4 linked regions of the Saccharomyces cerevisiae S288C genome follow. The gene in region 4 interacts genetically with the main gene of each other region. Each region holds a gene or a part of one and is shown on either strand. Other genes may lie near its edges.

Region 1 (7,563 bases), on a different chromosome or scaffold from region 4:
GGTTTTAAAAAGTAGTGTTCAGCAGTTCTATCATATTTTTTTATTTAAAAAAAAATACTGAGAGGAAGCGTATTGTTAAGACACAATTTAGGGTGGCGTTAAATAAACGAGAGAGCCCAAAAATATAACCAAGATAAAGAAAATCAATCATAAAGTGAATTCAAAAATGTCATCGCAAAACCTCAATGATAATCCAAAAAATACATCCTCAGCAGCTGAAGATAAGAAGAAACAAACTTCATCCTTAAAGTTGGCACCAATACCAACCACATCGCCATGGAAATCATCTTCGCCAGATAGCAATACAGTAATTCCTGTAGAGGAACTAAGAGATATATCAAAGACTGCAAAGCCAAGTAAAAATGGTTCGGGGTCAATTAAATTAACAAGCAATACCAAATGGACTCCAATTACGCCGTCTGTTATAATCTCAGGTTCCAAGGACACAAATTCAAAGTCAGGAAAGAACTCTAAAAATTCTAAGACTAATAAAAAAATGAAAAAGCGTGGCAAATATAATAACGATATCAATAAAAAGGACTTTAACGGTCAAACCAACAGTACATCGGAAATAAGTAACGTTTCCAATCTTGAATCCAAACCTTTAGATGCTAACGCTAAAGTAAACATACATTCAAGCTCAGGAGCAACTGCCAATGGGAATATAAAGAGGATAACAAACAACAACAATTCAACCAACGGTAGACAATCAAGAAATTATCAAAACAGGAATGGCAAAACAAGATACAACAACAATAGTAGACACAGTCAGGCGGCTAATAATGCCATCTCCTTCCCAAATAATTATCAGGCTAGACCTGAATATATTCCCAATGCCAGCCACTGGTTGAACAACAATTCAAGAAATAGCTATAAACAACTGTCATACTTCCGTCAACAGCAGTATTATAATAACATCAACTATCAACAACAATTGCAAACACCATATTATTACTCAATGGAACCTATTTTTAAATCTATCGAAAGTATCAAAAACCAAATTGAATTCTATTTTAGTGAAGAGAACTTGAAAACAGATGAATTTTTAAGATCTAAATTCAAAAAAGCCAATGACGGATTTATCCCCATGAGTTTGATAGGGAAATTTTACCGTATGGTTAATTTATCTCTTGGTGGAGACCCAAATTTAATTTTGGCATCTATGAGAGAAGTTTTACAACATAAAGAAACAAACCATTTGGAAATTGCCCTTGGAAGCATAGAAGGTGCTCAGAAGAACATGGCAGATGATTTCAATCCATTGGAAAACTATTTTATTAGGCGCGAAAATTGGGCTGAATACGCTATGGAAAGTAATTTTGATGAAAATGATGACGAAACTGAAAAATACAACATTGAGAAACTATTGGGACCGAACGATTTAGACAATTATTCTTATATGGGCTATCCAAACTTCTTTCCCAGTAATGAAAATGGGAAAAAGAGTCAGAGCTATGACCAAGGTGAAATTAGCAGGCAGTTTGAACAAAACTTACAAATAAATGATTAATTTTAGACAATATTTTTTTTTTTTTTTTTATTATGTATATAGTTAACATGTATAAAGTAATAGCAGATTCTCTCTAAAAATATAACATAACATTTCATTTCAATTCGTACTAAATAATTTTTTATATAACAGATACATAAGATATTTATATAGAGGAAAACGAAAACAAACTAAAAATAAGCTGTTAAGAACAGATATGTTTTATGCCACCAGAGCACACAAAGCTGCGCCAACACCGGACCCATCTTTGGCTAGACGCAAATGTATCTTACGTTCACCCTCAGTGCCAATTGGACTTAATGCCAAAGCATGTCTCAGCATGGATCTGAATCCAGGATAGTATTCGATGACATAACCGTCAAAACCAATTTCTACCTCACCGTGATATCTTTTGTTCAAAGCGTTTGTCTTGATTAGGATGGCGGCAATCGGAACGGCTGCTAGATATGCAGACCTTCTCGTAATGGAACGGACCAGATTTTGAATTGCTTTACGTTCTTCAAAAGTGGTCGGTAGCCTCAAACTCTGCAAAAACGACAATTCAGTTTCACGCAAGTTTGTCGAATCATCGATTTCAATCCTGGAAAGAACTTCACTGCACAATTGGAAAGGAGTCTTTAAACGGTGAGGTAATTGATCGTAATTACGATACTGTCCCAAGATTAAGCCCCTTGCATGCAAGTCCACCAGGATGTTCCTTAACAGCTCACCCAAGTACATGCCGGAAATTCTTTTTTCAAATAGATGGTAACCTGGATTTGGAGAAAATTTTTGGTCAATATCGATGTCATACTTTGTAGCAGACAAATGTTTCAATTCATTGTCGAAAGAACCCCATTCGATGTTGATGCACATTTGGGTTTTTCCTTCATGCAGCAGTCTTGTTCTGAGCTCATCTGGTAGCTTCTTGATGTTTTCAATATCCTCCATATAGCAACCGTTAGTACCAGTACCAAAGATACAACCAATGACAGGCTCGCTAATCTCACCAGCACTCGATGGACGAGAGCCTGAAGTGTAGCAGTGGGATAGGAAAGTGCCAACCGTGTCGTTGGTCAAAGCTACCACATTAATCATAGAGAGCCCCTGAATGTCTAATTGCTCCTGGTATAACCTCACGACATCCTTGCCGACCGTGTCTTCAATCTTGAAGCTTTTGGTCCATCTGATTAAAGTACCGGAACTCAAAGAGGTTTGGTCAACGGGATATGAGAAGGTAAATCCCATTTTCAAAGGTTTTATGTTCTCCCCCGTGGACTTCAACAACTCAGGATGATGCTTCCTAACGAAGGCCCTTGTACGGCGACCCAGGTAGCTAAACAGCTCCTCGCTGGTGACATCCTTGTCATTTAGATATTCTTCCGGAATCTTAGACTTCAATTGCTGCATATCAAAGGTTCCGTCACCATTCAAAGTCACAGAACACACTCTGAAGTGAGTCCCACCTAAATCTGCAGCCAGCAAAACACCACGTTCCGTCCCATTGGGCAAACTGGTTACATATGTAGGGATCATGGGTAGACCCTTGTCCACCGTCTTTTCTTCGCCTACAGAGGTGTTATTCAACCCCTTTTCCATACATTCAATGAAGTACGCTGTTAGTTCGTCCAACTTTGCTGCATCAACCTGCAATGAGGAGCAGATCTCAACCACTGCATCTTCCAATGCCTCAGCATTGACTTTATGTAAATTTTCAAATGACATTACTGTGTATCTATGATTCGATTCTTGTACAATTCTTCCTTGATACACTGATATCTGTTTCTATTTAAACTTCCTATAAGTATGAGACGTACAAAAGAACACGAGACAAGATGAGATTTTACACTTACACAGAATCGACTTTATATAATCCCGAATACATGTTTCCCCCCCCTGCATCGCAAGCATAATAGAATTCGACGACCCGATCTTCTTCCTCTGTCTTCCACACACACAAACACTAATTCACTCTCACTCTCTCACTTTCCCTTTCGACGACACACACAAAAAGACTTTCTGGATGCCCCGCGTTTTTTGTCACTTGATTCTTCGAACAAAGACGCAGGCAACTACCCCTGAAGGGCCCACCCGAAAGTAGTTGCTACTGCTCGTTGCGGTGGCTGCCAGAGTGGCGACGTAGCGTTGCGTTGTGGCTAACATTGGTGAGACAACCCGATTAAATTACTTAATGGGCTCTCCCACCGCCTTTGCACCCAGTGACAGCCATTTTGAAGATAGCATCGGGCTGGCTTCCAAATAAAATCTAGGTCGTTTCTATTAAGTTCGTTTCGTTATTTTTCTGTCTTCGCGGCGGACACGCAAGCCGACGACGACGAGGTTTAGTTGCATTTTGGCTATCATAAAAGAAATGGGCTTGTCGCAACGGGATCAGGACCAAGAACAGGGGTGCTGAGACTACTACTGTAACTGCGACCGACACAGCGTGCGAAACTAGGGAAGTAAAAAGGTATAGGAAGAAGAACTATGTTTAGAATAGCTAAAAACCTCGTACGGACTTTTGAGCAGAGCGTGCAAGATACCCTGGCACTCTCGCAGGACTCGAGCAATCTGGACGCTTTCTTTCAGTCTATACCACCAAATTTGTTGTCTGCTCAGTTGGAATCACCCGTAGATGCGGTTTCTGAAGGTGTTAAGCACACCAACGTCAATGAAACGCTTTCCGGTCTCCGCATTGTTTGGGTGGACGAGATGCAGTTCCAACTGCAGTCCTTTTTCGACTATATAGTAGGTTTCAATGATGATCCGGTGCCGGTGGTCAGTAATCAACACGGATTTTCGTACCCAGATTACCGTCGTATCACATCCATCTTCAATGAACACTGTGGCCGAACTTTGAAGGTCAACATATGGTCAGCTAAAGGAGGCACGTTCAGAGACGAGTATATCAGCATTATATCGAAGGAGAGCGACGATTTGGACGATGTTTCTCTAAACCATGACGAGAGGAGGCCATCTAGTGGGGAAGCGCACCAGTTCCAAGCACTCGGGTTCAAAGTCCAATGGACGCCTTTGATAGCTTCCACTTTCACATACCATATCCTGAACGTGAACATCCCAGATGGACCCGCCCAATCGGCAGGGCTCATCCCAGATGAAGACTACATTATCGGCTGCCAAGATGGCCTGTTGGCCACGGGAGGGGAGACGCTTTTACAAGATATTGTTAGATCAAGAGCAAACTACGATCTGGTCCTTTATGTCTACAACAAAGTTTCTGACTGTGTGAGACCAATCACAGTTCATATAGGTCCCGACGGCAGGTTGGGTTGCAACGTTGGATACGGGTTTCTTCACAGGATTCCAACAGTAAAGCACTGTCCACAACAAGCACAGCAGCAGGGGCAAGATGACAACCCTGTTCCTGTTCCTGTTCCAGTAGAATCTGAGACGGCTTTTGTGCCATCAGCATTCACAGCACCACCGGTGCCAACAAAGAAGAAATCAAAAAATAAAAAGGGTACCCAGCCATTGGCAATGGATGACTATTTTAATGAAGGCAGAGATAAGTCATCTACCGCTGCGAAGTCAGCAGAATCTGACATCCTCGCCCCACCACCACAAAAACAGTCATCCTCTGATTAACTTTCCTGGTTAGTCTTTTGGTTTTGTTTCATAGCAAAATTAAATATATATATATAAGCTTGCTTTCCCTTCAAAACACGTAAACGATAGTTGGCAATGTACGAAAAGTACCGAGACTTTTTTTCAAAGGCACGCGTGTCCTTTTTTGTTAAGACAATAGATATTTTAGCATTCAGAAAGTTTCAATTTCCAAGACTTGACGTTTCAATTATATGGCAATCTCCCAACAAGCACCCGCTCATATAATACCATGCAAGTGACCACAAGATTTATATCTGCGATAGTCTCGTTTTGCCTGTTTGCTTCTTTCACGTTGGCTGAAAACAGCGCAAGAGCTACGCCGGGATCAGATTTACTCGTTCTAACAGAGAAGAAATTTAAATCATTCATCGAATCTCATCCGTTAGTCCTCGTCGAGTTTTTTGCTCCATGGTGTTTGCATTCTCAGATCTTACGCCCTCACTTAGAAGAGGCCGCCTCTATTTTAAAGGAGCATAACGTCCCAGTTGTTCAAATTGATTGTGAGGCTAACAGTATGGTTTGCCTGCAACAAACTATAAATACCTACCCAACCTTGAAAATCTTTAAAAATGGTCGTATTTTTGATGGTCAAGTCTATCGCGGTGTCAAGATCACCGATGAAATCACTCAGTACATGATTCAGCTATACGAGGCTTCTGTCATTTATTTAAATTCCGAAGATGAAATCCAACCATACTTGGAAAATGCAACTTTACCAGTAGTAATAAACAGAGGCTTGACAGGCTTGAATGAAACGTATCAAGAAGTCGCACTGGACCTTGCTGAGGATTACGTCTTTTTATCCCTTCTAGATTCAGAAGATAAGTCATTATCAATCCACTTGCCAAACACTACAGAACCAATTCTGTTTGATGGAAATGTAGACTCTTTGGTCGGAAATTCCGTTGCTCTAACTCAGTGGTTAAAAGTGGTAATTTTACCTTACTTTACCGACATCGAACCTGATCTCTTCCCCAAGTACATTTCTAGCAATTTGCCGTTGGCTTACTTCTTTTATACTTCTGAGGAAGAATTGGAAGATTACACTGATCTTTTCACGCAGTTAGGTAAGGAAAATCGTGGCCAAATAAATTTCATTGCATTAAACTCTACAATGTTCCCACACCACGTTAGATTCCTAAATATGAGAGAACAGTTCCCATTATTTGCTATCCATAATATGATCAATAATCTGAAATATGGTTTACCACAACTACCAGAAGAAGAGTACGCGAAATTAGAAAAACCACAACCACTAGACAGAGATATGATCGTTCAGTTGGTAAAAGATTACCGTGAAGGTACTGCCAAGCCAATTGTTAAGTCAGAAGAGATTCCAAAAGAACAAAAGTCCAATGTTTATAAAATAGTTGGGAAGACACATGACGACATTGTTCATGATGATGACAAGGATGTCCTTGTCAAATATTACGCGACATGGTGTATTCATAGTAAAAGGTTTGCGCCTATTTACGAAGAAATTGCAAATGTCTTAGCATCTGATGAATCTGTTCGCGATAAAATCTTGATCGCCGAAGTAGATTCAGGGGCAAATGATATCTTAAGTTTTCCTGTGACAGGATATCCAACCATTGCTTTGTATCCTGCCGGAAATAACTCTAAGCCTATTATCTTCAATAAAATTAGAAATTTGGAAGATGTTTTCGAATTTATCAAGGAATCAGGTACACATCACATTGACGGCCAGGCAATTTATGATAAATTGCACCAGGCCAAGGATTCTGAAGTGTCTACTGAAGATACCGTACATGATGAATTATAATCAATAAATAAAGCATATATAATGCACATTTTTAACATCTGATTACTCGCATCGTTTCTGGAAGAAAATAGCTAATATTCGTTATTTATGGCATCACGATTATTCTCACCAGTTACCCGTTTATGCTCTTGAAGAGATTTAGCATTACTGCCAGCGCATCTTCAAATACAGGTTTATATGAGACCCATTACTATAACCCTAAGAAGAGAAAAAGGAGTGCTTTCGTTTTCAATCACATTCTAGTTTACAGTAATTGAGTCTCGATGATGTTTAATATTTACCTTTTCGTCACTTTTTTTTCCACCATTCTTGCAGGTTCCCTGTCAGATTTGGAAATCGGTATTATCAAGAGAATACCGGTAGAAGATTGCTTAATTAAGGCAATGCCAGGTGATAAAGTTAAGGTTCATTATACAGGATCTTTATTAGAATCGGGAACTGTATTTGACTCAAGTTATTCAAGAGGCTCTCCTATCGCTTTTGAACTTGGCGTTGGCAGAGTAATTAAAGGTTGGGATCAAGGTGTTGCCGGCATGTGCGTTGGCGAAAAAAGAAAGCTGCAAATTCCAAGTTCTTTGGCCTACGGAGAAAGAGGTGTCCCAGGCGTCATTCCTCCAAGTGCTGATTTGGTGTTTGATGTCGAATTGGTAGACGTGAAATCAGC
Region 2 (9,245 bases), on a different chromosome or scaffold from region 4:
TGTTTTTGCGGTTGGCGATAAGCAAAACCCTTACTATTGTTACTTATGGATGGAAAGGAACCATCAGAAACCCTGGTGACGGGTGACGTAGGAGGTGTACTGTTCATAGCGTGACGTTTGAGAACTAGTCTTTGAGATGTGTTTTAAGACGATTTTTGCTGTTGATGAGGTTAGATCCCCGTTATATAAAGGCAAGAATCTATTAGCAGCGCTTTTTGTTTATTCAATGCTAGTCAAAATAAACAATAAGATAGACCCATACATCACAATCTAGCTGGTTTGCGATCATGTTGATTGACACATTATATCCTTGCTAGGGAACATAAATTTTCGTCATAGGCTATACAAGCAGCTGAGATATAGTGAAGGAGGTAAGCAACTTTTGAAACACATTTACGATCTTCTAACCTTATTAACTTGTTGCTTTAGCTTTTAGAACTCCATTTACGTCACTTTTTTGAATTTTCGCCTGTAAAGGAATTGTGAAAAAAGTGTGGGATAGAGATAGAACATAGAAAACAAACCAAATTCGTTGGGACAGCGAAGTAGCGCAAACTAACGATACTGTATTGTCAGGCTCTAAAAGGGTGAAGTTTTGATGGAAGGGCAAAAATCGAATGCATCATGGGAGAGCTCGATCATCGAGGGCCAATTGTCTAAAAATCTAGCAAGGTACACCTTGTTATTAGACAAATTATCGACACTATCTCAAATAGACAAGCTGTCTGAAGTGATAGCCAATGATTACGCAAAACAATCTAAACAATTAAATGCATTTGTGCAACAGTCGCAATCATCGCTCAACAAAGAGTCCCGGAAATTAGAATTGCAAAGAACTAACCTTACGACTACTTTGACTCAGTTTCATGAGACTGTGGCCACCATTTCTTCTTCGAACGCAAGAGCAAAAGCTATACATGACGATATTGAAACTGTAGATCAGGAACGCGCTTTGGTCAACAAAACGTTACAATTTGTAAAAGACGTCAGGACGCTAAAGAATAATATTTCACTGGCGCATTCTGCTTTAGAAACAAAGGATTACTTAGTTGCTGCGACAGCAATCAATGAAATTAGAAGCCTTCCGGATAAAAAACTTATTGTATCCGAGTTTGCCAAGAAAGTTGTGCCCTCGAGTGAAATTCCCGAAGAACCAGCTATACTAATAAAGAATTGGTGTAAGGAACTGACAAGTTTATTTCAGGAGCAATTCATGGAAGCAACAAGAACACAGGATATTAAAGAGCTAACCTTAATGTTCAAAATGTTCCCTATGATTGGGCAGGACGTACTTGGTTTAGACCTGTATTCCAAATATGTCTGTGATATTATTGCGGACGAAAGCAGGAAAATTATGTCGAATTCTATGGAAAACAGCACCAAGTTTCAAGGATTTTTTTCACAAGTACTGTTACATCTTTTTAAAATTGTATCGACCATTATAAATGATCATTCAAAAGTCATCGCCACGTGTTATGGAAAAAAGCACATGGTGCATGTCATGGAAAAAGTAGAAAAAGAAGCTGATCTTCAAGCTAGTTTGATTCTAGATATTTTTATGGAGACGAGGAAAATAGAAAGGACTATACATGATATAAATGAATGGGAACATTCACAAAAGAATGAAGATGTGAATATAGACAGTAATCAGTCGGATATCGAAACAGACGGAGAAACGGAAAAGAGCTCAATTATATCCATTCATGACTTGGCATTATTGATAATGGAATTTTCTCAAATACTTCAAAATTGGTCCATGTATTCTAGATTTTATTCAGTTAAATGGAATGAATTTAGCGATTTGCATCCGCATGTATTGCAACCACCTCCACCAATAGCAGATGGTAAATTTGCCTTAAAGTTAAAGCAAGATAAGGTCTTTGATGAGTTTCAGGTGTTTGTGTTGAACCATCTGCAGAGATCATTTAGAAATAGTATTTCACTAGAAGAATTACCGTCACTGAACGATCTTATAACTGCTGTTCCCCTCAATGACCACGATAACATTTCATACCCTGTAACATCTGTTTTAGATGACTTAATTTTATTAGTTCGGAAAAATCTGATATCAGTGGTTAATACTGGCCAGTTTAAGCTCTTAGCAAGTTTTTTGAACGAGTTGGTAAAATTTTTTCAGAACCGATTTCTGGTAAAATTTATGCAAAACAAATTTAAGTTACTACAATCGAAACTAGCCTCCAATGTATCTTTGAAAAGATACATTCCAAAAGGTGAGGAGCAATCTGCAACATCAAGATCGGTTTCTCCACCTGCAAATAAGTTTTCTCCGCTAAGCAGGTTCACTTTTAGAGGGGCAGCAGCTAGCGCTTTGACAAATATTCAATCAAATTTACAAGCCGTAGTTGCAGAGGACGAGGATTCCATTCTTGCGTTGCACCATTATTTGATATATCTGAACACGTTGTACTTGAGTAAAGTATACGTTCACAGGCTGTTATCCATAGAAATATTAGAAGACGATTCGCAAAGGATTTTGAGAGACAATTTCCCTTTTGACAATGATGCAGCGCAGTTACAGAATTTAATTATAAACTCAGAAAAATTAGTCCTGGAACAAACAGATAAGCTAAGCAAATGGGCTGTCAAATACTTGTTCCAAAATATCCTACAAAATAGGGTTCGGAACTTATTGGGAACTGTTTTTGTTAATTCAGCCTCATCAAATTCCTCAACGTCCAATCAAAAAAATGTGTCTCGCGATTATTCTGCAGGTTCGAACCAAAAGAATTACATCACAAGCATAGAAGATTTCGAAGATTTGTCGCAAATTAACAGTTTCAATAGCAAATGGAACCAATTGATTATCCCTTACAAAAATATTCTTCACAACGAAGCATATGCAGAGTTGCTATCTGTCATAGTCGACTACATCGTAACAACATTGGAGCAAAGAATATGGACTCTAGAATTCAATGAACTTGGTGTTACGAAATTAGATAGAGAACTGAGCCTTTTCATCGGCAATATGTGTGGCTTGAACTATAATCTCAGAGAGAAGTTCTTGAAATTGACACAAATCGTGTTGCTTCTCGGTTTAGATGATGACAATTTTGATTTGACTACAGGTGATATCAAGGATGACTTCAATGGTACTTTCGATTGGGTGATAAACTCTCAGGAAAGAATTAAAGCTAGAAATATGAAGATTGATAGAACACAGTAAATATAACATAAGCTTTACGAGCTGAATACTAAGTAGTTTCATATAAACGCAAACATAATCTTGGCTGTTGTACCTTTTCTGCATACTCTTGACTGTTAATACATTTCTTATTTTTCTTATGAAAGAGCACAACATGATAGCGCCATACTATCATTCTGAACGTTGCGATTAACTGGAAATTACGAAGACTAAGACAAGAAAAATTAAAAGCGTTAATAAAAAATAAACAAAGGAACCTTTGAAATATATTCCGTCACCAAGCTAAGAAAGGAGTAGCTCTTTCTCTAAGGCCAACTTTGTCATCCTTTGAGTTAGTTTAAAGTCTATTAATATTTGCTATTATCTTCTGGGCTGGATAAATAGGACTTTTCTATTGGCACATTTTTTTCTCTTGTAGAAGGTCATCACGAATATTAATTTTGTATTTGAAAGCATTTTATTTTCTCCTTTTTTTATTACCATAATATACCTGGTACTGGTTTTTACCTGATTTAACGTCTAGCCGCTCAAAACAAAAACCCACTCATATCTATACAAATATAAGAATAAGATGGATGGGGAAATGGCAATAATAGAAAGCAGCAATCATGTCGGGACTTCATCGCCTACCACTGAAACACAGTTTACTATAGATTCTTCCGCATTGAAAGACCAAGAAACCAAAGAAAGCATAACAAATTCACCGACAAGCGAGGTACCGATTGAAACAAAACTACCAAAAAGTTCTGATATAGTAACAGAGGAAAAACATCCTCAAAACACGACTACTGATATTGAAAACGAGGTAGAGAATCCTGTTACAGACGATAATGGAAATTTGAAACTTGAATTACCTGATAACCTTGATAACGCTGATTTTTCGAAGCTACTGGAATTTGATGCAAAAAATGATGAAGCTCTGTTCAACTCAAATGAGTTGTTATCCCACACCATGGATCCTGTAAATAACATCGATTTAACTCATGATCACAGCAGGGAGGTTTCATCAAAAGAAGATATCAATATAGAGCCAGTAAACCCTGATGAGGACGAAAGGGAGAAAACTCAAGATAACACAGCAGCAGTGAAAACTGAAGGCATAAGGAACTCAGAAGATACAAGTATACAAAAGGATGAACCCACTGCTGATGCTATATACACAGATGTGCATAAATTATCAGTAAACAAAGATACCGAGACCCTACCAACATTAGTAGATGAAAAAAACAACATGCTGCATATGAGAAACAATTCAATAACGCCAATAATGTTTCAGCAGCATGAATTAGTGGGACAACCGCCACAAAACACTGTAACGGAAAATAATAGTACAGATGCTGAAACTACCCAACGAAAACTATCTGAGCCAATCGATGCAAGTTTACCGCTACCGAATGAACAACCGACTATCTTCGCCTATGCAAGGCTGGACTTTCAAAGTTTCACATTTTATGTACAAACATTACATGCAATAATCGGAAGGAGGTCTGAGAATGACTTCTCCCACAAAGTTGACGTTAATCTTGGTCCTTCAAAATCAATATCGAGGAGACACGCCCAGATTTTTTACAATTTTGGGACAGGAAGGTTCGAATTGTCCATAATAGGGAAGAATGGTGCTTTTGTGGATGACATTTTCGTTGAAAAAGGAAATACTGTGCCACTTCGTAATAAGACAAAAATTCAAATTGGACAAATTCCATTTCAATTTATTTTACCAGAACAAGAACGTAACGACGATAGCAAAAGCCCAGAAAACGCTGACATAGCAGAATCTGAAATAAATACAAGAAATCTCAAAAAAAACGAGCCCAAATCTAAGAAAAAGATTACAACTGGAGCAAAGCCCAAGAAAGCGCAGACCAAACCAGCTGTTAAGAAAGAAAAGAAGCCACCGAAAATACCAAAGAAAGTATATACTTTGGAGGAGATTCCAGTAGAATATAGAACGAAACCTACTGTATCTTACTCTGCTATGCTAACTACTTGCATACGAAAGTACTCGACTGCCAAGGGAATGTCTTTATCTGAAATTTATGCAGGAATAAGAGAACTCTTCCCCTATTATAAATACTGTCCTGATGGGTGGCAAAGCTCGGTAAGACACAACTTATCGCTAAATAAATCTTTCAGGAAGGTTTCTAAAGAAGGCAAAGGATGGTTATGGGGTCTTGATGAAGAATATATTGCAGAGAGGGAACGACAGAAAAAGAAACAAAGTGAGATAGCTGTGGCAAAGGCACAAGCTGCACAATTAAAACTTGAACAGCAACAGCACAAACTTCAGCAAGTGCCGCAGAGGGGCAAAAAAGATATTGTTTCGCAGAGATCTAACGTTAATGCGAGAAAACAAAACATCTCACAAACTCTTGCAGCAAACAGAGCCGCCTCGAACAGGAAAAATACAGCAAGTGATAATCAAAGGACAATGAAATATCTGCAGGAACAGCTTGTCATTTTAACACGAGATAGAAAGGGTTTATCGAAGCAGGTCATCGCTGCAATTTTGACGCAGGCTCTAGCTATGACAATAAATCAGGTTACACAAGCGGCAAAAAACAAGGGGATTACTGGTAATCCACTTACAGCCTTGATGGACAAGAATCCTCAGCATTTGAATCTAATTTTAGCAGCTGCTGTAAACGCGGCAACTGCAAAAGTCACAAAAGGTGAGGTAAAGCAATTAGTGAACCCTGAAACTACAGCGGCGGCGGCTTTAGCAGCTAAGGCACAGCATTCCAAACCGATACGCCAACCAATAGTCCAGACGCCGCATGTACCAGATAGGCCTCCATCTCAGTTATCTGCGTCGGCATCATCCCATCCCAATAATTACTTGCATGATAAACAACCGGGATCGTTTGATCCTTCGTCCTTGTCTCGATTTTTTCAACCGAGACAAAATGCTAGGGCTACATCCTCTGTGGCAGCTACGTCAGTTCCGGCGGCTGCTTCTCAAAATGTTGATGCACAACCCAAACCTAAGCCTGCACAGGACAACGACTTAGAAAGTGAAAGCGGCACTAGTAGTAGTAGCAGTTCCAGTAGTGAGAGCGGAAGCGAGAGCGATAGTGGTAGCGATGACGGTAGTGCTAGTGGAAGCGGCGATAATAGCAGCACTAGTAGTGAAAGCGAAAGCGAAAGTGATAGTGGAAGCGAAGTAGATGAAAAGAACAACAAAAACGAAAAGATCGATAGTGAAAGTATTAAAAACAACGAATCTAAAGATGATATTCCATCTAAAGACGAGAATAGTAGCAATGATAATCGCGAGATTTCAAAAACCGACGAAGAAGGTCATGATTCTAAAAGGCGGAAGGTCAGCGAGGATATCAACGAGGGTATCACTGAAGTAAATGTATCCCTTGAGGAAAAACTTTAAAAAATTTCGATAATAGTATTAGCATATTCGAAGTAGAAGCATAAATCTTTTCATAAAGATAGATCGGATCAAGCCATAGTAATAGGTATGAATCTATGCGTCCTATTCTGTTTTGCGTTGTTGAGATTCAGTCTTCGATTTTTACAAAATTTTCCATCGGGTCGCCTCTACAACTACTTATTCACTTCGTTTGATTTCGGGTTTCACTTTTTGTTTGCATTGATGGCGTCTGTCCTCATATTACCGAACAATACTTAAAGATATAATTATATAAAAATATATAGATGTGATGATTGGAAACATGAGAACTGGACTTCCTTCATAATTCTATGGGAAGCCATATTGGATCCTTGAAGAGAATAATGTATCATTAATATAGATGTGCATATACATATGTTTGATGCTTCTATTTAGCCAATAACGTTGTTGAAAGATCCTTCCTCTTCCTTGACCTTCCAAAATAGTTCACCTACGTCATGATTACCGTGATATATCCAACCATCCTCGGTAACATGATATAAATTTACAGAACCACCAGAGTAAGCATCTCTATGGGCAGCAGCTAAAATAGATCTCTTACCTAGATATAAAGCATCTTCAACGGATAAATCCCATTTATAGTTAGAGTCTAGAACACCATATGCAAATGTTTGACCTGAACCAACGCAGAATATGTCACCTTTTAATCTTGTACCGTCTGAGTCGACGTAATAAATGGTTGGGCCCTCCTTCCTAGTGTAACCACAGATCATAGTACCCATTGATAAACCGGCCCCTTTATATTGGTATACTAAATTGCTTAAAATCTTGGATGCGGCTGCGACAGATATACGTTCCTTTTCCCTCAGCTCGTGCAGCCTACACTGAGAACCTAGCCAAGTTTCCCAAAATTGACAATCTGCCGCACCACCAGCCATTGTACCCAATAAAAATGGGTTGATCTCAATAACTTTCTTCACAGTTTGAGAAGCAACCCAATTGCCGGCAGTGGCACGAGAATCTACTGCCACAATAATACCGCCTTGAAATCTAAATGCTAAGGTTGTAGTACCATGTGCGATCTTGATTTTACAGTCTGGGTTTCGTGAATCATCTGTGTGTGCTCTTAAAAACTGCTGTGGAGACGCAATTGGTGGAACCGTAAGCGATGGTGCCAAACGTTGAAACTGGGAGGCGCCCGTTACGAAATCGCTCTCTAAGTTTTGTTCGTTGTCATATTGAAGTTCCTTAACCAATCTGTTTGGTACACTGAAACTATCGGCAATAGCTTGCATGTTTGTTTTTTTTTCCTTCTTTTCTTTCTGGTTTCTTTCTATCTATTCAATTTAATAGTAAATTTGTTATTCTCTTTTGAAAATTGATATATTGAAGCCTTTCTTTACAATTCACCTTGCATTATTGAAGGAGTGCTATTCTTCGTTTTGCCACCCTTTTGCTGTTTTCCCTCATATCACATAATACCCGGAGAGGCTCTTTCCTGCGACAGCGCAACATCCAACCATCCTAAAGGTATGGGTGTACTGACGATGCGATTATTTCATTAAGTTCTGTCTTTTTTGTATAAATGAAAAAAGAACGGTGAAATCCATAGAAATACAGAGAGCGACGCAAACAGCGCGCAGACTCTACGGGTAATAGACTCACATCCACGTGACCAGTTTCCAATCGAACTTTTTCACTTTGCAGGGAATTATTGTTTCACTAGCAAAGGTAGCCCACTTACCACTCAGCTATGCGAAAGTTTCATTGTTTGATACATCTTGATAGTAACCGCAGGCTTCTTTCTTAGTTCATATTTTATTGTATTTCAACTAATATTATTTTTTTTTCAGTGGAAGGGAAGGTGAACCAAGAACATACAAACATAGCCAAAGATGTCTGCCAAAGCTCAAAACCCTATGCGTGATTTGAAGATCGAAAAGTTGGTCTTAAACATTTCTGTTGGTGAATCTGGTGACAGATTGACCAGAGCCTCCAAGGTTTTAGAGCAATTATCTGGTCAAACTCCAGTTCAATCCAAGGCCAGATACACTGTCAGAACTTTCGGTATCAGAAGAAACGAAAAAATTGCTGTTCACGTTACCGTCAGAGGTCCAAAGGCTGAAGAAATTTTGGAAAGAGGTTTGAAGGTCAAGGAATACCAATTGAGAGACAGAAACTTCTCTGCTACCGGTAACTTCGGTTTCGGTATTGACGAACACATTGACTTGGGTATCAAGTATGACCCATCCATCGGTATTTTCGGTATGGATTTCTATGTCGTCATGAACAGACCAGGTGCTAGAGTCACTAGAAGAAAGAGATGTAAGGGTACCGTTGGTAACTCCCACAAGACAACTAAGGAAGACACCGTCTCTTGGTTCAAGCAAAAGTACGATGCTGATGTTTTGGACAAATAATTTAATTAGTTTGTGAAGAAATATAATACATTTATATACTCATATCTATGTTTTTTTTGTAACCAATTAATAAAATTATGAATTTTAAACCAAGATGAAACTCTATGTTATTGTACATGCGCGCTAAGGACTTCTATGGCGAGCGATCCAATATCCTTCCACGATTTGCCGCCACATTTATAATAATAAAGGTCCATTGCGACATTATAACCTCTTTCTGTATATTTCCAAATCGTTAATTTGTTTCCTCTGCTGGATGTTCATTTCTTCCACTATAGTACACGTTTGACGAATATAATCA
Region 3 (6,913 bases), on a different chromosome or scaffold from region 4:
ATACTCAGGATGCAAACCACGCCTCCTCACAAAGTATCGACATTCCGAGATCATCACACTCATTTGAGAGACTACCAACACCCACAAAACTTAACCCTGACACAGATTTAGAGTTAATTAAGACTCCCCAACGTCATTCTTCATCTAGATTCGAGCCATCTAGATATACGCCATTAACGAAATTGCCAAATTTTAATGAAGTTTCTCCTGAAGAAAGAATCCCTTTGTTCATTGCCAAAGTTGACCAGTGTAACACTATGTTTGACTTTAATGATCCAAGTTTTGACATTCAAGGTAAAGAGATTAAAAGAAGCACCTTAGATGAGCTAATAGAATTCCTTGTAACAAATAGGTTCACTTACACGAATGAGATGTACGCTCATGTGGTGAACATGTTCAAAATCAATCTGTTTAGACCTATTCCACCACCAGTAAATCCAGTTGGTGACATTTATGACCCAGATGAAGATGAACCTGTTAACGAACTAGCCTGGCCTCATATGCAAGCTGTTTACGAATTCTTTTTAAGGTTTGTGGAAAGTCCTGATTTCAATCATCAGATTGCTAAACAATATATTGATCAGGACTTTATTTTAAAGTTACTGGAATTATTTGATAGCGAAGATATCAGAGAAAGAGACTGTTTGAAAACGACACTGCATAGAATATATGGGAAGTTCTTATCATTAAGAAGCTTTATTCGTCGGTCGATGAATAATATTTTTTTGCAATTTATTTATGAGACTGAGAAGTTTAACGGTGTGGCAGAATTGTTAGAAATTTTGGGTTCCATAATTAATGGATTTGCACTTCCATTAAAGGAAGAGCACAAGGTTTTCTTGGTGAGGATATTGATACCATTACACAAGGTCCGTTGTTTATCATTATACCACCCTCAGTTGGCTTACTGTATCGTTCAATTTCTCGAAAAAGATCCTTTATTAACCGAAGAGGTAGTTATGGGCTTACTGCGTTATTGGCCAAAAATAAATTCCACAAAAGAGATAATGTTTCTAAATGAAATCGAGGATATTTTTGAAGTGATCGAACCGCTGGAATTTATTAAAGTAGAAGTTCCGTTATTTGTTCAATTAGCTAAGTGTATTTCTTCTCCACATTTCCAAGTGGCGGAAAAGGTTTTAAGTTATTGGAATAATGAATATTTCTTAAACTTATGTATCGAAAATGCCGAAGTCATCCTACCCATTATATTTCCTGCATTATATGAATTAACTTCTCAGTTAGAGCTAGATACAGCAAATGGCGAAGATAGCATTTCAGACCCTTACATGCTTGTTGAGCAAGCAATCAATTCTGGTTCGTGGAATAGGGCAATTCATGCTATGGCATTCAAGGCATTGAAAATTTTTCTGGAAACAAACCCAGTATTGTACGAAAACTGTAATGCATTGTACTTATCAAGTGTAAAAGAAACTCAACAGCGTAAGGTGCAACGTGAAGAAAATTGGAGCAAACTTGAAGAATATGTAAAAAATCTAAGGATTAACAATGATAAGGACCAATACACAATCAAAAACCCAGAATTAAGAAACAGTTTCAACACAGCAAGTGAGAATAACACATTAAATGAAGAGAACGAAAATGATTGTGACAGCGAGATACAGTGAAACAGCAATTCATTACAAGCTCGAAGAAGTGAGGAAGTTTAGGGCATGCCACATTTCAAAAGAGCAGCAGTATATGAAGAGCAAAAAAGAACTGGTAAATGGGGTCAACTTGTTGAAGAAACCAAAGATAGAATCCCCGAATATTCGAACAAAACTATAGCAAAGATAAGCCACTTGGACAATGGTTGTTTGTGGCCTGAGATAAAGGTCTCTTTTTCTCATCATTTGAGCATACTTCAATCGATGTGTCTTCATTTTATTATTTCTATACTTTTCTCCAAATATATCTTCGTTTTTCTTTTCGCTTTCCTTCTTCCTTCTGCCTTTCCTCTATTTATTTTGCACTCCACTCTTTTCCGTAAACCTTGCCTATCTATTATTGGATTTTTGAAAACTAAAGTATAAAGGTATGTCATAAATAATTAAATAACAAAAAAAATAGGATCATGATACAAAAAAGTGCCTTCCCCTTAGCACAGCTGATCCAACAATTTTAAGAGCTTGAAAAGCAACCTATACGTAGTTTTTTTGGCGACTGGTAAAAAAGAACTGAATAATTAATGCCTGCACTATACTGATACCAACCATTACCCCCATAATTAGTAATGAGAGCCATGTTAATCTTGACTCAGTAGAACTCACAGTATACATGTTTCTCCATTCTCTAGCCCTTAAATAATCCATTGTTTTGGTGATCTTATTCAGGTTCCTATCAATTTCCTCGATGGCGTTGTTTGCGATTATGTCCTCTTTGCTTTCATGGGAAGAAACAATTTCCTTTTCCTTTTCGAGGGTGATTTCAACTTTCTTTGGGGAAGTGCCGTAGTTATTACTCAAACAGAAAGTGTACTTACCTATACCAAACGACTTCAGTAGAAAATCAGAATGCTTCTTTTGTCTTTCAGTGACGATAACAGAGCCATCAGGGGCGGTAATATCGAAGTCTATCTCGAAATTCCCACCTGTCAAAACTTGGTAACTGACCACAAGGACATCTTTATCAGAGGATAAATCATAGTAAAGACATTCTTTGGTAAAAGCAGGTAATGATATGCCTACAGGAGCATAATTAGAGGAGAATGCATGTGTTAACAAAGATGAACTAAACAAAATCGCAATCAAAGTAAAAACGCGCATAATTCCTAGCGATGATTGGGAATATATATTTATGAAAAAACTTCACTAGCGCTCGTGAAACTACTTCAAAGGCAGCTGGGAAATAAATGTCTTCAAAGCAGAGAAGAGTTCCCAAATAGAATTCTCAGATCGTCAATCGCTCATCTTTGAGTATATCACGTCAAAAAACAGGAAACAGTGAAAAAAAAGTAGTCCATAATAAAGCGCGTTTCCGTCAATGCCGTTGGTTAATAAAGAAACAAATATGTAAAAATATAATATAAACAGGGCACTTGAGAGAGCACAAAAAAGAGCCAAACGCTACCTGATACTTTTATAGTTTTGATAATGGGGTTCTACAACTGTAGATTCCTGTCCAGACGTCTATCTGTTGAGCCTTGCAGAATAGGTAGCGCCGCTAAAAGCTATCAACAGCGATCGATTTATCACTTTGGCGCTGCTCTCACAAATGCCCCTAGTGGAAGAGAAACACCAGACAAGCTACGTTCTGACCTGCATAGTGCTTTAGAGATGGTCGATGAAATATATGACACAAATTCGACTGTAGAGGACATTGGAAACAAGGAAAAGGGAGGTCGACAAAAATATACGGAAGAAATGGACAAGGCGATTAATCTACTGAAAACAAATATAAAGAAGGAGTATAGACATGATAAGTATTTGGAGCGGACAAAGGTAGGAACGTATCCTGGTAGAAGAACATATCCTGGTAGGAGAACATATCCCGCTAGGAGAACATATCCCGCTAGCAGAACATATTCAGATAGCAATTCATACACTTTTCGGATAAATGTCCAGAAGATTAGGCACGCATTAGTACGTTACAATCAAGATGGTGTTCAAAAACACAACCAAAAGCCTCCTAGGATTGGTCATGGATTAACGAGAGTGTTATACCAACCGTTGTCGCTACAAAAATTGAGAGATAATAGGAGCAGAATGTATAATTTTGACCCTGCAGTGGAAAATATTAATCCAGAGTATTTGGAAAAGAAAAGTGAAAAAGATGTGAACACAGACTCCTCTGGAGAAGGACAAAGCAAGCCAATATTCATCACACCCCACAAAGATGAATCTCTGTTAAAGGTTGCCAAAGAACATAGAAAAAAGTACATATCTTCATCAAGTTCCATGACATCAGTACTTTCTCAGTTGCACTATTTATTATCCAATTTCAGAAGATTGAATATCATTGATTCCTCGATATCGAAAAATTTTCCTCAAAAAAACTGCAATTATTCAGAAAGTGCATATTTTCCGTCAGCAGTCATTCTGAGAAAGAAGAGAAATGGCATTTGTTCTATTGATTCAGATAGAAGTCTGGATAGGGAGATTGTGCTTTCTGTACTAGGTCATTATCTTGAAGACTTTTTAACGGAAAAGTCCCTGAAGAATAGTTCAAAAAGTGAAAATTATCACTATTCTAGTATAGATGAATTCATTGTGAGATCTCAATTGGACGCGTACGACCCAAATCTACCTGGAACGGGTGTATTTGATCTGAAGACAAGAGCAGTTTCTGCCATAAGATACGATTTATCACATGTAGAGAGTAATAACAACCAAACTGGATATGAGATAGATAAAGTTTATGGGGAATTTGAGTCTTTGGAAAGAGAATATTTTGAACTAATCAGGTCTGCCCTTCTAAAGTATTCTTTGCAAGCTAGAATTGGCAAAATGGACGGTATTTTCGTTGCATACCACAATATTTCTAAGATGTTTGGATTCCAATATCTACCTTTGGACGAATTAGATTATATAATCCATTCTTCGTATAACAGCAAATTCGACAGTTTGTTAAAGGAGAAGAATGATATCACAAAAGGGATATATGGTGAGGAGGACTACATTCTACACTATGACAGGGACGATAGGAAAATTGCTTGCTTGGTGGCTAATAGGGAATTTAAGATGTCTATGAATCTGTTCAGTAATATTTTGAAACACGTTGAGCAGTTACTTAACTCAAGTAATACGAAATGGGAAAAATGCAAAATAATGCTTAAAACCGAAGTTGAAGAAAAACGATCCAAAAGTGGCCGCTTCTTTAACGAACCGGTGCTAAATATTGTAGCCCTGCCGTTGTCACCTGAGTACGAGGATAAATCTTTATTGGTAAAGGATACTTCGAACGAACAATTAACAGAGGAGCTACTAAACCTCCGCTCATATAACGAAAATCTTTTGGAGGAACACCTGAATTCCTTAGTTGGATTTAAAGTAAATGTCAAGCATTTCTATCACCATCATCCTAATACTACACATCTACCTGATTTTGCTTTAAAAAAGAACGATATTCTCGACACCGAATCCCGTAAATATATTTCTGACATGATGAAACGAGACTGGTACAAAGATATACCATCTACACAGACTCCAAACTTTTTCCACGCTTCCGATGTTTCCACTTGGGAGGTGAACTCTACTTTTACAGATATCAATGACAAACAAATTTTACGAAAACTATACTTTAAATATTTGGATGTTAAATTAAACGCATTGAAAAATCAAGTAATCACACGTCAGGAACCTGATATGTCTAAAAAGGATGAAATTATGAATCGAATCAAATCACTACAAGCCCGCAATGATCACCGCGATAATGGAAGTAACAAAAGATATTCTAATTTTGGCCCTACCCGACTGCAAACTAAACTGCGCGCATATGCTAAAAAAGGTGCCCTTCGAAGAAAACTATTAGAAAGGAGTAACAAGTTCCATATCTAGAAGACAGTAGTCAGCGTTGGGCAATCTAATGTTATAGGTGAAGTTTTACTACTTTAATGTATTCACTCACAACTTTCGACCTTATGTAATTATTCTATGTATTTTTAGATATGTCCATACAATGCATTATTCTTGTAATTATAACACATATTAATTAAACAATGGGTCAAAAAGAGTCGAGTCCCTTGGTACATATTATGTTACATTACTGATTAAGTTGAATAAAAGCATCTAACTTTAAGGAATCTGCTTTATTTTGAAGACCGAAAACTACGAGTAAAAATAGGAGTTTTAATGCGGATGAATGTCTAACCCCAGAGATGGGTTCTCCGATAAAAACTGAGAAGCTTCCTGTTCACAGTTTTTATAAATTATTTTGTATGGCTGGGCTCTTGCAATTTTCAGCGTTTTTTTATTAAGCGAAAAAAACAGAACAGGGGTCCCCTATTCAAATATAGACGTCAAAAAGATGCAGATCTAAAACTAATTAACAACCATACAGAAATCAACGCGATTTCATCACACCATTCGCTTCTCTTCCTCCATAAGTAATAATGTTTTCATCATCATCTCGACCTTCAAAAGAGCCATTACTATTTGACATCAGACTTAGAAATTTGGACAATGATGTTTTACTGATAAAAGGCCCCCCTGATGAGGCATCTTCTGTCCTACTATCTGGAACTATAGTATTGTCAATTACTGAGCCAATTCAAATCAAGTCTTTGGCTTTGAGACTTTTTGGTAGGTTGAGACTAAATATTCCAACGGTTTTACAAACTGTTCATGGGCCGCATAAGCGATACTCAAAGTTTGAGAGAAACATATATTCTCATTTTTGGGATGATTTTAATATAAAAAGTTATTTCCAAAACTTGTACGATAATCATAATAATGGTAAAATAACAATTTCTAGTAAATCCTCAACAAATTTAGCAGCATTGCCAAAGAGAAAAAGAGCCCTTTCTACTGCATCATTGATATCAAGTAATGGGCAGACAAGCGCAAGCAAAAACTATCACACCTTAGTAAAAGGTAACTACGAATTCCCTTTCAGCGCGATTATTCCTGGGTCATTAGTGGAAAGTGTAGAAGGCCTACCAAATGCTGCCGTCACTTATGCTCTGGAAGCTACTATCGAGAGACCTAAGCAGCCCGACTTGATCTGTAAAAAACATCTAAGAGTTATTCGAACGTTAGCTATAGATGCAGTCGAGTTATCTGAAACAGTATCAGTGGATAACTCATGGCCTGAAAAAGTCGATTATACGATCTCCATTCCAACTAAGGCAATTGCCATTGGCTCTTCCACCATGATCAATATTTTAATTGTTCCTATATTAAAAGGATTGAAGTTAGGCCCTGTTAGGATCAGTTTGGTGGAAAATTCCCAGTATTGTGGTAGCTATGGAGGGGTT
Region 4 (6,630 bases):
ACTGCTAAGTTTGGCTGTTGAATACCCCTCTCATATTTTATGGTATATCACAGCCCTTGTAAATTCCAATTCTTCAAAAAGAGTTCTTCGTGGTAAGCATATTTTAGAAAAGTATAGACAACATTCGCAAAATCCTCATGATCTAGTTTCTAGTGCATTGGATTTAACGAAAGCATTAACTCGTGTCTGTTTGCAAGATGTCAAAAGCATTACAAGTAGATCAGGCAAATCTTTAGAAAAAGACTTCAAATTTGACATGAACGTGGCCCCATCTGCAATGGTTGTTCCAGTAAGAAAAAATTTAGACATCATTTCACCACTAGAGTCTAACTCAATGAGGGGCTATCAACCATTTAGGCCGGTTGTTTCTATAATTAGATTCGGATCATCTTATAAAGTGTTTTCTTCATTAAAGAAGCCAAAACAATTGAACATAATAGGTTCAGATGGCAACATTTATGGGATCATGTGTAAGAAGGAAGATGTCCGACAAGATAACCAATATATGCAGTTCGCCACAACAATGGATTTTCTTCTGAGTAAGGACATAGCTTCAAGAAAAAGAAGCCTGGGCATAAATATTTACTCCGTACTATCTCTTCGAGAAGACTGTGGGATATTGGAAATGGTACCGAATGTTGTAACTTTAAGATCTATTCTTTCTACAAAGTACGAAAGTCTGAAAATTAAGTATAGCCTGAAAAGTCTACATGATAGGTGGCAGCACACCGCAGTAGATGGAAAACTCGAGTTTTACATGGAACAGGTAGATAAATTTCCTCCAATCTTGTACCAATGGTTTTTAGAAAACTTTCCTGATCCAATCAATTGGTTCAACGCCAGGAATACGTATGCCAGATCTTACGCCGTCATGGCAATGGTTGGCCATATATTAGGTCTAGGTGATAGGCACTGTGAAAACATATTACTAGATATACAGACGGGTAAAGTTCTTCATGTAGACTTCGACTGTTTATTTGAGAAAGGCAAAAGGTTACCTGTCCCAGAAATTGTTCCCTTCAGACTAACACCAAATTTATTGGATGCGTTGGGCATAATTGGGACAGAAGGAACATTTAAGAAGTCTAGTGAAGTCACGTTGGCTTTAATGAGAAAAAATGAAGTAGCGTTGATGAATGTGATCGAAACAATTATGTACGATAGAAACATGGACCACTCAATTCAAAAAGCGCTAAAGGTCTTAAGAAACAAAATCCGCGGTATAGATCCGCAGGATGGCCTGGTATTGAGTGTTGCTGGCCAAACAGAAACATTGATCCAAGAAGCAACATCAGAAGACAATCTAAGCAAGATGTATATTGGTTGGCTTCCATTTTGGTAACGACTTTCCACCATTTTCGGCAACAGACGAACTTCCTCTTGATCTAACCATCACTGCAGGTGCTTTTCTCCGGCGGAGTTAATAGATACTTATCCCCGCTTCATGTCATACTATCTCTCTTAACAGGGATGTTGACACCATATAAGTTAACATAACATATACGTACGTAATAATATTAAGGACTATCTCGCATTTCAAAAGAGAAACAACCTAATCAAGCCTTATTATAAGAGCAAATTATTCAAAAAAAGTCTACGGAGAAAATTATTATGGTGGTTTTAGACAAGAAGTTATTGGAAAGATTGACTTCTCGTAAGGTTCCCTTAGAAGAGCTCGAAGATATGGAAAAACGATGCTTTTTGTCTACTTTTACATATCAAGATGCCTTTGATTTGGGGACTTACATAAGAAATGCAGTTAAAGAAAATTTCCCCGAAAAACCAGTTGCAATTGATATCTCCTTACCAAATGGGCATTGCTTGTTTCGCACAGTGACCTACGGTGGCAGTGCATTGGACAATGATTTTTGGATCCAGAGAAAGAAGAAGACAGCGCTTCGATTTGGTCATTCAAGTTTCTATATGGGCTGCAAGAAAGGTGACAAAACACCGGAGGAAAAGTTTTTTGTGGACTCAAAAGAATACGCTTTCCATGGAGGTGCTGTCCTAATACAATCGGAGAGAAGTGACTACCCCTATGCCTGCTTAACTATAAGTGGATTGAAGCAGGAAGAAGACCATTTAATGGCAGTCAGCTCTTTAATTGCATTTGCTAATGAAAGTCTAGAAGAAGATTTGAATTTGGATTGAGAATGTAGGTAGAAGTAAAATAGAGGCTTGAACACCATAGAATATTTTTTACCCGTTACTAGTATAACTGTTATTTAGTCGTAAGCTTTTCATATATATATTGATTGTTTTGCCCTTGAAAAAATACACAGCACCAATGCAGTCCTGTTTGTTTTAGTGATCTCTTAGCAATGTATTTTCAAGGTTGAAAATTTAAACGATCACTATTTTGATTGCGTAAGAAATGCGGAAGTAAACCATTTATTCTCCACTTCCACTTCAATTTTCTTCTTGCTTCCAAAAACCAATTCATTGATTTAGAGCCCATTGCATCTTTATTAAAATGATGTTTGATTGACTTATCATTTTCTAGCAATTGCAACTGCAATCGTTCTATTAGTTCCTTAGAGAAGCTGTCCTTTTTTTTTGATATTTCCTTTTTAAGGTCGATCTTGTTATCTTCTATGTGCCTATTTATTTTTTTTGGAACATCTGTCGATAAATGAAACGGTTCTGCTGAATTCTCTAGATCACTAAAAGTACCGCTGCTTAGATTTGATTCATCCATAGATGATTCGAACTCGCAGTTCTCAAAGATTTTAGCGGCTTCTTCATATCTAACTGTGCATTGCTCACATACAATTTCTTTATAGTATCCTGAATTTAAAAGTCTCGAGCTAATTTCATATAGGGCCTTTTCGCAGATGACACATTTCCTCAGTTGGGAATGAACATTTAATTCCGATAGATAAAGATCATCGTAACTTTTATTGGAAGATGGAATATTAACCAAGTTAACCACCATATTTTCAATGGAATTTGGTATGGAAATATCACTTATTTCAATTTCCTCTTTGATAAAATCTAAGGGGTTGTTACTTTCGTCCCTATTTTCTTCAGTATTCCTTAATATATGGGGTATCAGTGTTAGTGAATTCGGTTCAAAGCTATTTCTATTGGTTTCCTTATTAATTTCAGAATATGAATTTTTTACTCTCAGCGGGATATGATTATCTCTTCTTTTACTTAGTTTTGATTTCAAATCTGAAATAGATACCATTTTTTTTGTTGATTTACTTTGGGTATACGGTATGTAGTCTTCAACCAGGACTAGCGGTGGTATATCCTGAGAAGTATTTTCTGTTAGCTCGTAGTTTTTTGTATCTAAACTCGGCCCATAACTGACGTACCTATTACGTTTGTTGTTATGCACTCGCAGTTCATTTACAGGATTCAACCTGGGCCGTTTTTTATTGTTGTTGTATTCGTTGTTTCCACTGTCATCTTCATTAGTTTCGATATTGCATGGAGGCGCAATTGGCAAAGACGTAAAGCTCTTGTCATCAATTAGATCTAATTTGGAAACAGATTGGTACAATTTGGATGGAATTTTAGGCTTGGCACCTATCAATTGTGAGCGACGCTTTCTTACATTCAATAACTGTTGGTTCTGATTTTCACTTTGACTATTGCCTTGGTATGGAGAATTTCTCTGCAATGGTTTTGCCTGCTTCGAAGGAGTGCTGTTACTATCGAAGATAAATTCCTTCTTTTCAAATTGCCATTGTAACATGGAGTTATTCTCTATATCCTGGACGACTGGAGGAGTCAAGGGCCTGGAAAGTACGGATCCTGTAGAAATATCACTGGCAATTATACTGAGTTTATTGTTGGTGTTGCTATTCATATTTGAGCTGGTATTGGACGAAAGCAAGGATAATGAGTTTGTGTCTACTGACTCCAACACCCTAGGCTGGATTTGATCTTTCTCCATCCTTTAATTTTAACCTTTTAATTAGTGGTTGGATCAAGTTTTCGAGACTATTCCAATCTGTGACTTGTTGGATAAATAGTTTTTGACTCGTTTAGTATAATCCTTTTTTCTAAAAGTGCTTAGAGTTCTCTAAGATGTTCTTGTTTACAATGTGAGCGATTTAGGAAATTTCCTAAAAATGGCCGAGGCGGCGCTAGCATTCTACGAAAGGTGAGATAACGCTTCGTTATCGAAAAATGTCAGGGGACAGGGGTTATATAAGAACGAAAATTGTCATCCTGCATTTTTTCTTTAAAACAGCTATACAAAAAGTGATACCGACATACAATGAAGTATCTAAACTTAGTTTTCGTGCTTCAGCTTCTTATTAGCATCAAATACGCCTCATTCGGCCGAGCCTTTTCTCTTTTTGAAGATGATACCACCTTTGCCAATTTGGATAAACAGCTAAAGCTTCCACAGAATACACAGCAAACCCTTAAATTGGACCGTTTGAATCACGATGATCCGCTGTTTACAACTTTTATTTCTTCTGTGGACACAGATTACAGTTTGAGACTTAGAACAGTAGATCCTTCTAAACTAGGAATTGACACCGTAAAACAATGGTCGGGTTACATGGACTATAAGGATTCCAAACACTTTTTTTACTGGTTTTTTGAAAGTAGGAACGATCCTGCTAACGACCCAATTATTCTTTGGTTAAATGGTGGACCTGGTTGTTCCTCGTTTACTGGGTTGCTATTTGAACTAGGCCCCTCATCAATTGGCGCCGATATGAAACCAATCCACAATCCCTATTCTTGGAATAATAACGCTTCAATGATCTTCTTAGAACAGCCACTCGGAGTCGGCTTTTCCTATGGTGATGAAAAAGTCTCCTCTACAAAATTAGCAGGCAAAGATGCGTACATTTTCCTGGAATTGTTTTTTGAAGCTTTTCCTCATTTACGCTCCAACGATTTCCACATTGCAGGCGAATCCTATGCAGGACATTATATCCCTCAAATTGCACATGAGATCGTTGTCAAGAACCCTGAAAGAACGTTCAATTTAACTTCAGTTATGATTGGTAATGGTATCACAGACCCTTTGATTCAAGCAGATTATTATGAACCAATGGCATGCGGGAAAGGGGGCTATCACCCTGTTCTCTCATCAGAAGAATGTGAGAAAATGAGTAAAGCTGCAGGTCGTTGTCGTAGGTTGAACAAGTTATGTTATGCTTCTAAATCAAGTTTACCATGCATAGTCGCCACTGCTTACTGTGACTCTGCACTTTTGGAACCGTACATTAACACAGGACTCAACGTCTATGACATTAGAGGGCCCTGTGAAGATAATAGTACTGATGGTATGTGTTATACAGGTCTCCGCTATGTCGACCAGTATATGAATTTTCCTGAAGTTCAAGAAACGCTAGGGTCCGACGTGCATAATTATTCTGGCTGTGATAATGACGTGTTCACCGGATTTTTGTTTACGGGCGATGGAAGTAAACCATTTCAACAATATATTGCTGAATTATTAAATCACAACATTCCGGTATTAATATATGCGGGTGATAAGGATTATATTTGTAATTGGCTGGGAAACCATGCTTGGTCCAATGAGTTGGAATGGATCAATAAACGTAGGTATCAGAGAAGGATGTTAAGACCATGGGTCAGTAAAGAAACAGGTGAAGAGTTGGGACAAGTCAAGAACTATGGCCCTTTCACCTTTTTGAGAATATACGATGCCGGTCATATGGTGCCCTATGATCAACCGGAGGCAAGTTTGGAAATGGTCAACAGTTGGATTTCCGGTAATCGTGCTTTTTCGGATCTTTCCACCTTGGAAAATGCTAGTTAGTAGTGCTCTAAAAATGTTTCACTCTTAACCTTGCAATCATTATACTTTACACAAATCTCTACGTTTCATTTAATTTAAAATCTACAATCCAACAAATATAAAACAAAATATAATTATAAGGAAAAACGTATATAATCACTGCAATACTCTAATTTAAAATTAGGAGCACGACATTCTTGCCAGTATCATTGTTGCTAATCTTTTTCTCTCATAAATTGCCACTTGATGTTCACCCTCTCCTTTTAACTTTTCTATATGTTCCTGATCAAAAATATCCAGAGGCTTCACAACTGACAAGCCTCTCTTTTTTAAAAGTTCGACCATTTCATCATTAAATTCCTCTAGGTAATTAAACTCACTGTGTGTAACAAGCATCCCAATCAATTCAAAAGAGACAGCAACCGCTTCAGATGATTGTTCTAGGGTTGATAACCTCCTGAATTCCTTTCTAGTCAGCGTATAGAACCTGAATACACAAATAGGGTTGACTTTGAGCAAATACCTCATCAATAGAGCAAAACGGAATTTACATGGTTCGTCTGACATAACACAGCTAAACAAAAGTGCTCCTTGGTATAAGACTATATTAGATTTATCTGAGTCTGAACTTAGCCAGTTGATCAAAGTAAGTGGCACTTTTAGTGTATTATTTAAAGGTACCAGTTCATCTTCGAAGCCGACTTCAAGTAACAAGGTAGAAAGTTGTTCAGGACTTAAGACCAAATGGAGTAAGAAAAGGTAACAAAGATAATCGGAGGATTTTGGGTTGGACTTTCTTTCGTAATATGTATTCTTGAAAAGGGCCTGTAGACAATCTAATGCGGCTCCTTTTACGACAGGAATGGATAAACCGTTTGCAATGAAACCTAAAA

What was found.
Region 1: mutations in YBR137W (region 4) and GRH1 together harm fitness more than expected from each alone (negative genetic interaction), as found in Saccharomyces cerevisiae (one large-scale study listed by BioGRID).
Region 2: mutations in YBR137W (region 4) and FHL1 together harm fitness more than expected from each alone (negative genetic interaction), as found in Saccharomyces cerevisiae (one large-scale study listed by BioGRID).
Region 3: mutations in YBR137W (region 4) and ERP4 together harm fitness more than expected from each alone (negative genetic interaction), as found in Saccharomyces cerevisiae (one large-scale study listed by BioGRID).

The regions. Positions count from the first base shown.
Region 1 is NC_001136.10:1,473,263-1,480,825, forward strand, and holds GRH1 (Grh1p), read left to right. Parts: upstream 1-3,976; coding exon 3,977-5,095; downstream 5,096-7,563. Other genes in the region: SLF1 (Slf1p), read left to right, coding at 167-1,510; EMI2 (putative glucokinase), read right to left, coding at 1,712-3,214; protein disulfide isomerase EUG1, read left to right, coding at 5,346-6,899; peptidylprolyl isomerase family protein FPR2, read left to right, coding at 7,163-7,563. UniProt on the Saccharomyces cerevisiae protein: Involved in the spindle assembly checkpoint. Involved in ER to Golgi vesicle-mediated transport by either facilitating USO1-dependent and -independent tethering or increasing target accuracy of fusion events of COPII-coated vesicles.
Region 2 is NC_001148.4:730,923-740,167, reverse strand, and holds FHL1 (Fhl1p), read left to right. Parts: upstream 1-3,734; coding exon 3,735-6,545; downstream 6,546-9,245. Other genes in the region: putative protein kinase ISR1, read right to left, coding at 1-107; Golgi transport complex subunit COG4, read left to right, coding at 599-3,184; PRE2 (proteasome core particle subunit beta 5), read right to left, coding at 6,956-7,819; 60S ribosomal protein uL5 RPL11A, read left to right, coding at 8,420-8,944; SNT309 (Snt309p), read right to left, coding at 9,149-9,245. UniProt on the Saccharomyces cerevisiae protein: Acts as a transcriptional regulator that recruits coactivator IFH1 to the promoters of ribosomal protein genes. Recruited to ribosomal gene promoters by RAP1.
Region 3 is NC_001147.6:358,320-365,232, forward strand, and holds ERP4 (Erp4p), read right to left. Parts: upstream 2,766-6,913; coding exon 2,142-2,765; downstream 1-2,141. Other genes in the region: protein phosphatase 2A regulatory subunit RTS1, read left to right, coding at 1-1,628; YOR015W (uncharacterized protein), read left to right, coding at 1,674-2,033; PET127 (Pet127p), read left to right, coding at 3,093-5,495; ROD1 (Rod1p), read left to right, coding at 6,050-6,913. UniProt on the Saccharomyces cerevisiae protein: Involved in vesicular protein trafficking.
Region 4 is NC_001134.8:511,433-518,062, forward strand, and holds YBR137W (uncharacterized protein), read left to right. Parts: upstream 1-1,611; coding exon 1,612-2,151; downstream 2,152-6,630. Other genes in the region: protein kinase MEC1, read left to right, coding at 1-1,342; YBR138C (uncharacterized protein), read right to left, coding at 2,330-3,904; ATG42 (carboxypeptidase C), read left to right, coding at 4,232-5,758; GTPase-activating protein IRA1, read right to left, coding at 5,918-6,630.